2 linked regions of the Macaca fascicularis genome follow. The protein of the gene in region 1 purifies or fractionates together with the protein of each later gene. This does not show direct contact. Links are inferred from orthologs where the notes say so. Each region holds a gene or a part of one and is shown in the gene's direction. Other genes may lie near its edges.

Region 1 (4,341 bases):
CTGTTTCAAAAGATTATATATATATGTGTGTGTGTGTATATATATGTGTGTGTATATATATGTGTGTGTATATATATATATTTAAAGGCTATGTGGGGTGGGTCATGCCTGTAATCCCAGTACTTTTGAAGGCTGAGGAGAGAGGATCGCTTGAGGCCAGGAGTTGGAGACTCTAGTGAGCTATGATCGTGCCACTGCACTCCAGCCTGGGCGACAGAGACTGTATCTCTTAAAATAAAAATAAAAATAAAAAAAATATGAGTAGATGAATGATAACCTTTAGAAAGGATCCAGGAGGCTGGGTGTGGTGGCTCACTGGTTCACGCCTGTAATCCCAGCACTTTGGGAGGCAGATCACTTGAGGTCAGGAGTTTGTGAACGGCCTGGCCAACATGGTGAAATTCTGTTTCTACTAAAAATACAAACATTAGCCTGGGCAACAGAGTGAGACGCCCCCTTGAGGCAGGGGTGGGGGGGTGGGGGAGGGGGAGGGAAGAAGGGATGGAGGAAAGGGGAGCACATGGGGCTTCTACTGTTTGGTTTTGCGATCTGAATTCAGGTTGTAAGGGTGTGTTCACTTTGTGTAATTTCGTCGAGCTGTAATGATTTGTGCTCTTCTCTTTAACTTCAATAAAAGGTTTATTTAACAAAAACTGTAGCTGGTGTGAAGGGTAGCAGTGTATCCCTGGGGCCTGGAATACAGGCTTTGGGGTCAGACAGACCTGGGTCCCAATCTGTGCTTTGTCCTTTCGGCACGTTGTGACTACAGCTGGTGGCTTCGTGGCTCTGGGCTTGTTTCCTTCTCTATAAATGAGGAAACATAATACCTGCTACGATGATGCCTGTAAAGCTTAAGCACAGGACCTGGCATAGGTTTGTAAGGCGGAAACCTGGGATACAGAATTAAGGCCTATGGATCTCCTGTGCAACCCAATTTCTGGGCACTGGCTGCCTCATTTTCCCCAGCCCAGACGCGTGGGTTCTACTTGACTGGTTGCTCACTGCGGGCTCGGGGCTCCTCACTCCTGGGGGTAAAGCCCGGTACGAAAGGTCACCTTCAGGGGCAGCTCAGACCTTCCTACGCCCGCGCGGGGCACAATCTTGGGATCAGCCCCACAAGGAGACCCTACCCGCCCATACGATCCCTTCTGTGGAGCCCAGCTCAAGGCCCCTCCAGCCCAGACACTAAATGAAAGCTAAGAGCAGTTGGCCGCCAGACTGTCCGTGCCAGAGCTCTGCGAACTTACTCCGTTGAAAGAGCAACGGCCTTGCGCCACCTCCTGGGGTAAACCCCCAGCCCTTCACTGCAGGGCAAGATGGCGCTGTCGCGTGATGCTGCGCACGCGCACAGCTCCGGTCCCGCCCCCAAGCCTGCGGGTACGGACAGCGCACGAGCTTATGTTGAGGGCGGAGCCCAGATGAGCCCTTCATCCTATCCTGCCCTTCCAGCCACTCTTAGCGGTAACTTAAACTACGCTTCCCAGAAGCCTCCTCAGCCAGGGACTTCCGTTGTCGTCAGCGGAAGCGGTGACAGATCATCCCAGGCCACACAGAGGCCGGCTTGGTCACTATGGAGGAGATAGGCATCTTGGTGGAGAAGGCTCAGGTACAGTGGGGACTTGAGCTTTTTAGTCCGTGCTGGGCTCGCGGGGAGAGGGTGAAGCCAGACCTGAGTGGGGAGATGAATGGCTTCCGGGACCCCGGCCCGGGTTGGGGTGATTTCTGAGGCCTCGGTGGAGAGTTTTGTGCCGTTCGAAGGCTTGTCTGGGTGGCCGAGTGATGGTGGGAGGTAAGGCTCAGAAAGCGGGTCTAGGGGAGTGAGTGACGTTAGTGGGTCTTTGGGACGGATTGATTTCGAACCCTGGCCGGTAGTGCTTAGTTAAGTCGGTGGCCCGGCGTTGGGATTGGGTCAGGCGGTGAGTGATGTATGGGATCCAGCTGTGCGGCCGAGTGATCCCCGGGACTAGGCTGCGGGGCTGACTGATGTTCAGGGCTTTGCTGATGGGGGTAATGGGGCGGGTAGTTAAGTATTATCTGTGGCTTGGCTGAGTGATGTTTAGGTCTAAGGTGAGTTAGGAGACTGTGACATAAGGGATCTTTGAGGGGAAACTGGGGAATGTTGGGACTCTTTGAAGGCGCAGTCACTTTAACAGCTTATCTAGGAGAGCCATGTGACATTAGGAACCTCTTGAGGGGGATCGGGTGGCATTTGGGTCTGATATGGAGTTGATGTAACATTTAGATCCTAGGTGGGGGTTGTGTGACACTGGGGACATGTTATGAGTGATATATGATAACATAAGAACTGTTTGGGGGCAAGTTGACATAAGGAGCTTGTTTAGGAGGCCAAAAACAGGATCTATTTAGAGGGTCTTATGATATCAGGGGTCTGTTAGGGGGTAAGTGACTTCAGGGTGACGTGGGGAGGGGAACAAACGTTAGTGAAGTTGAGATGCTTTCATGAGAGGACCGTCTTCCAACGTAAGTTGTCCCTTTTGGTCTAGGATGAGATCCCAGCGCTGTCCGTGTCCCGGCCCCAGACCGGCCTGTCCTTCCTGGGCCCTGAGCCTGAGGACCTGGAGGACCTGTACAGCCGCTACAAGGTACATTCAACCCCCAACCCAGACCTTGCACAGGACCTGGCATCTTATACTCTCCCCATTTTCCACCACTCTCTGGATCAGCAAGGGCTGGAGCCATCCCCTTCTGTCCCCTCTCTGCTCACAGAAGCTGCAGCAAGAGCTGGAGTTCCTGGAAGTGCAGGAGGAATACATCAAAGATGAGCAAAAGAACCTGAAAAAGGAATTCCTCCATGCCCAGGAGGAGGTGAAGCGAATCCAAAGCATCCCGCTGGTCATCGGACAATTTCTGGAGGCTGTGGATCAGAATACAGCTATTGTTGGCTCTACCACAGGTGTGTGGGTAGCTAAGGACATCTAATTCATTCATTTGTCCACTTCACTATTTCCTACCATGTGCTAGGAAGCAGCAAACAAGGCAGGGCAGTGCAGTGCAGTGTTCTTCAGAGTATTTTGATCGAAAGGTAGAAATACATATACATACATATATATATATATATATATATATATTTTTTTTTTTTTTTTTTGGAGACAGAGTTTTGCTCTTGTCGTCCAGGCTGAGAGTGCAGTGGCACGATCTCGGCTCACTGCAACCTCTGCCTCCCAGGTTCACGTGATTCTCCTGTCTCAGCCTCCCAAGTAGCTGGGATTACAGGCATGGACCACCACGCCTGGCTACTTTTTGTATTATTATTAGAGACAGGGTTTTACCACGTTGGCCAGTCTGGTCTCGAACTCCTGACCTCAGGTGATCTACCCACCTCGCCCTTCGAAAGTGCTGGGATTACAGGTGTGAGCCCAACTGTGCCCGGCCAGAAATATATTTTACATTGTGAATATGTCTTTGTCTCTTACTTTTTAGATAGATGTATAAAACATAAGTCTCACCATGAAATATTTAGCCTTACTATGTGTGGTATTTGCTGATGTTTTCTATCCTATTCTAGTCTGTTTTGCTTTAAACACAGTTCTGGTCATGAACTTCCAAACTGATTTCACAACTACTACTGGTTTGGGGCCTGCAGTTTGCAACGATGAGTAGGAGTGTTAAGAGATTGGGCTCTGAGGCCAGGCATGGTGCCTCACACGTATAATCCCAATACTTTGATCAGGTGGGCAGATCACTTGAGGCCAGAAGTTTAAGAACAGCCTGGGCAACATGGAGAAACCCTGTCTCTACTGAAAATATAAAATTTAGCCAGGTGTGGTGGTGCACGCCTGCAATCCCAGCTACTTGGGTGGTTGAGGCATGGGACTCTGTTGAACCCAGGAGGTGGAGGTTGCAGTGGGCCAAGATCGCGACACCATATTCCAGCCTGGGCGACAGAGCAACACTCTGTCTTAAAAAAAAAAAAAAAAAAAAAAAAGACTGGGCTCTGATAGGGACTCAGAGTCCCTATCAGAGTATATTGTAGCTGCTGCTGTTTATATAGGTCTAGGCCTTGCCCTCTTGATAGTCATTGTTACTGGCACTTACCTGTTTTTTCCCGTTTCTGGGCTCTGCTCCTCTGGACCAAGCCATGTTCTTGTAAAGGTTGTGGAGAAAGGTGTGCGATTGTGCCTGGAATTGGACTGGGGGGCTATGAGAAAGTGAGGGGAGAGTGGTATCCAGGATGAGGTCTCTATGTTGCGAGTTGGGATAGTGCAGCTTTCCATGAGATGGCACCATGGGTAGAGGAGCAGGTTTGTGGGAACACAGGGAGGGCAGTCCAGAGCATCATGGGAGGTGTCCAGGAGGCTGCTGGTCAGCCAGGTCTGACAG
Region 2 (4,064 bases), on another chromosome or scaffold:
GACTTTTCACTGTACACTTTAAAAAGACACATTTAAAAAATCTCACCATGTTCGTATTTGTTAAAACATTTTAAAAATATACTGAAGAAATGACACATAAGGATCACAAAATAGGTTGTGGTAAAAATTTAAAAACCTGGCTGGTGATTCTTTTCTCCCCACTTCTTTTATCAAAATAGAATTGCCCTGTAGAATTACATTTCATATTTGACACCCTACCCTGCCCTGAAATAGGGCTGGGATTCTATTCCTGTCTTTTAAAACCTTCGGTTTAAATGGGTCCGATTATTGAATGGATCCTGATTACAATAATCGTACCCATTGAAACCAGAGAAATTTCTAGGCCTCCCTGTTGAAACCAAGTAGGACCTTTCCATACCCGGCCCTCAGAATGTACACGAAGGTGAAAGAACAGTCTAGAAGGATGTCGTTCCCTCAGCCTTGGGTTCCAGCTAAAAAAAAAAAACTGTGTGGGGTTTCCCCCTCACTTTTCCAAATTTAACCTGGACACCAGCTCCTCTGCAGTGTCTCCCCTCGAAAGTTCTCGAGCGTTCCCCAGCTTTAGGGCCGCGCCCGGCCTGAGATCTGCTGAGTCATTGTCCTTGTCCCGCGGCCCGCAGCGGGGGAGGGGCGCGGCACCGGGGAGCCCCCGCGACCGGGCTGGGAAGCTCAGGAAGACTGAGGGGGGCTGAGCAAAGAAAGCCCCGTCATTATCTCAAATGTGACCCAAAAATAAAGACCCGTCCGTCTCGCGGGGTGGGCCAGGGCGGGTCGCGAGGGAGGGGAGGGAGACCCCGACTCTGCGGGAGGCGCTCCGTCCGCGCCCCACGTCCGCCGAACGCGGGGTTCGCGACCCGAGGGGACCGCGGGGGCTGAGGGGAGGGGCCGCGGCTGAGGAACGCGGGCTGCCCACCCGCTCCTGGCGCCGCAGAGTCCGCACCGGGTTTTGGCGCCTCCCGCGGACGCCCCCTCCTCTCGGCGAGCGCCTCCACGTCATGGCCGCAGGGCGCAGCGAGCGCCCTGATTCTTCCGCTTGGGCGCTCAGGACGGCGGCCCGCTGCCCACCAGACTCAGTCCCAGAACCCCAGTCTCAGCAGGAGGACATTTTGGGACGGGACTTGGGTGACTGTAGGGCACTGGTTTTCTTTCCAGAGACCGGAACGGGCGAGCAAAAGTAGTCCCTTCTCGGCGATTCTGCGGAGGAATTTCCTTGGGGCGGTGAACGCCGATGACTATATAAGGACGCGCCGGGTGTGGCGCAGCTAGTTCCGTCGCAGCCGGGAGTGGGATCGCAGTTCTTGTTTGTGTGTCGGTGTCATCGCCACTTGGTGAGCAGAGGGCTGCTGGGCCGGCCATGGCTTTCGTGGCCGCTGGGCCGCTCGGTGGGATGGAGGGGGGCCGACGCCGCGGGATGAGAGGCCGCCGAGGGCTGTAGTCTGGGTCCGCGAGCAAGGTGCCCCGAGCAGCGGGTGGGAGGGGAGCGCAGCAAAATGGCGGCTGTTCCCGGCTCTTGAATGGAAGACGGTTGTGAGGCGGGCTGTGAGGTTGTTGAAACAAGGTGGGGGGCATGGTTTGCGGCAAGAACCCAAGGCCTTGAGGTTTTCGCTAATGCGGGAACGCTCTTATTCTGGTGAGGTGGGCTGGGGCACCATTTGGGGACCTTGATGTGAAGTCTGTCACTGACCGGAGAACTCGCTTTGTCGTCTGTTGCGGGGGCGGCAGTTAATGGCGGTGCCACTTGGCAGTGCACCCGTAGCTTGAGGAGCGCGCGCCCTCGCAGTGTCGTGACGTCATCCGTTCTGTTGGCTCATAATGTGGGGTGGGGCCACCTGCCGGTAGGTGTGCAGTAGGCTTTTCTTCGTCGCAGGACGCAGGGTTGGGGCCTAGGGTAGGCCCTCCTGAGTCGACAGGGGCCTGACCTCTGGTGAGGGGAGGGATAAGTGAGGCGTCAGTTTCTTTGGTCAGTTCTATGTTCCTATTTTCTTAAGTAGCTGAAGTCTGAGTTTTAAACTATGCGTTCGGGGTTGGCGAGTGTATTTTGTGAAGTTTCTTAGGTATCTTTTAAATTGTAATCATTTGGGTGAATATAACATATAGTTTAAGTATTAGGAAGATTAGTACATTGTCTGCTAAATGCTGGTGGTTTTTGGCTCTTTTGTTAGACAATGCAGATCTTCGTGAAGACCCTGACTGGCAAGACCATCACCCTTGAGGTTGAGCCCAGTGACACCATTGAGAATGTCAAGGCAAAGATCCAAGATAAGGAAGGCATTCCTCCCGACCAGCAGAGGCTGATCTTTGCCGGAAAGCAGCTGGAAGATGGGCGCACCCTGTCTGACTACAACATCCAGAAAGAGTCCACCCTGCACCTCGTGCTCCGCCTCAGAGGTGGGATGCAGATCTTCGTGAAGACCCTGACTGGCAAGACCATCACCCTCGAGGTCGAGCCCAGTGACACCATCGAGAACGTCAAAGCAAAGATCCAAGACAAGGAAGGCATCCCTCCTGACCAGCAGAGGTTGATCTTTGCCGGGAAACAGCTGGAAGATGGACGCACCCTGTCTGACTACAACATCCAGAAAGAGTCTACCCTGCACCTGGTGCTCCGCCTCAGAGGTGGGATGCAGATCTTCGTGAAGACCCTCACTGGCAAGACCATCACCCTCGAGGTGGAGCCCAGTGACACCATCGAGAATGTCAAGGCAAAGATCCAGGACAAGGAAGGCATCCCTCCTGACCAGCAGAGGTTGATCTTTGCTGGGAAACAGCTGGAAGATGGGCGCACCCTGTCTGACTACAACATCCAGAAAGAGTCCACCCTGCACCTGGTGCTCCGTCTCAGAGGTGGGATGCAGATCTTCGTGAAGACCCTGACTGGCAAGACCATCACCCTTGAGGTGGAGCCCAGTGACACTATTGAAAATGTCAAGGCAAAGATCCAGGACAAGGAGGGCATCCCTCCTGACCAGCAGAGGTTGATCTTTGCTGGAAAGCAGCTGGAAGATGGGCGCACCCTGTCTGACTACAACATCCAGAAAGAGTCCACCCTGCACCTCGTGCTCCGTCTCAGAGGTGGGATGCAGATATTCGTGAAGACCCTGACTGGCAAGACCATCACCCTCGAGGTGGAGCCCAGCGACACCATTGAGAATGTCAAGGCAAAGATCCAGGATAAGGAAGGCATCCCTCCTGACCAGCAGAGGTTGATCTTTGCTGGGAAACAGCTGGAAGATGGGCGCACCCTGTCTGACTACAACATCCAGAAAGAGTCCACCCTGCACCTGGTGCTCCGCCTCAGAGGTGGGATGCAGATCTTCGTGAAGACCCTCACTGGCAAGACCATCACCCTTGAGGTGGAGCCCAGCGACACCATTGAGAATGTCAAGGCAAAGATCCAGGACAAGGAAGGCATCCCTCCTGACCAGCAGAGGTTGATCTTTGCTGGGAAACAGCTGGAAGATGGGCGCACCCTGTCTGACTACAACATCCAGAAAGAGTCCACCCTGCACCTGGTGCTCCGCCTCAGAGGTGGGATGCAGATCTTCGTGAAGACCCTCACTGGCAAGACCATCACCCTTGAGGTGGAGCCCAGCGACACCATTGAGAATGTCAAGGCAAAGATCCAGGACAAGGAAGGCATCCCTCCTGACCAGCAGAGGTTGATCTTTGCTGGGAAACAGCTGGAAGATGGACGCACCCTGTCTGACTACAACATCCAGAAAGAGTCCACTCTGCACTTGGTCCTGCGCTTGAGGGGGGGTGTCTAAGTTTCCCCTTTTAAGGTTTCAACAAATTTCATTGCACTTTTCTTTCAATAAAGTTGTTGCATTCCCAACTGGTGTGGTTTTTTAAAAGTTAAGGTTATTTTGCATTAGACTGGGTGAAGGGGATCAAGGTTTTCAGTTTACAAATGTTGCTGTGGTAACAGTGAAATGTCAGTGAAGGGGTTGACCTTAATATAGTACGAACTGTAGAAGGTGGGTGCAAATAAAAGCCGGCTTCAAGACCAGATTGGCCAATGTGGTGAAACCCTATGTCTACTGCAAATACAAAAAGGCAGGTGT

The links. The genes of interacting proteins can lie anywhere in the genome.
Region 2: the proteins of PSMC4 (region 1) and UBC purify together in Homo sapiens (affinity purification with mass spectrometry; 3 studies listed by BioGRID, with this or other methods). This does not show direct contact. The link is inferred for Macaca fascicularis from reciprocal best matches to the Homo sapiens genes PSMC4 and UBC.

What each region holds. Positions count from the first base shown.
Region 1 is NC_088393.1:47,110,107-47,114,447, forward strand, and holds the start of PSMC4 (26S proteasome regulatory subunit 6B), read left to right. Parts: upstream 1-1,532; 5' UTR 1,533-1,570; coding exon 1,571-1,606; intron 1,607-2,504; coding exon 2,505-2,603; intron 2,604-2,727; coding exon 2,728-2,914; intron 2,915-4,341.
Region 2 is NC_088385.1:132,077,541-132,081,604, reverse strand, and holds UBC (polyubiquitin-C), read left to right. Parts: upstream 1-1,264; 5' UTR 1,265-1,328; intron 1,329-2,162; 5' UTR 2,163-2,165; coding exon 2,166-3,767; 3' UTR 3,768-3,835; downstream 3,836-4,064.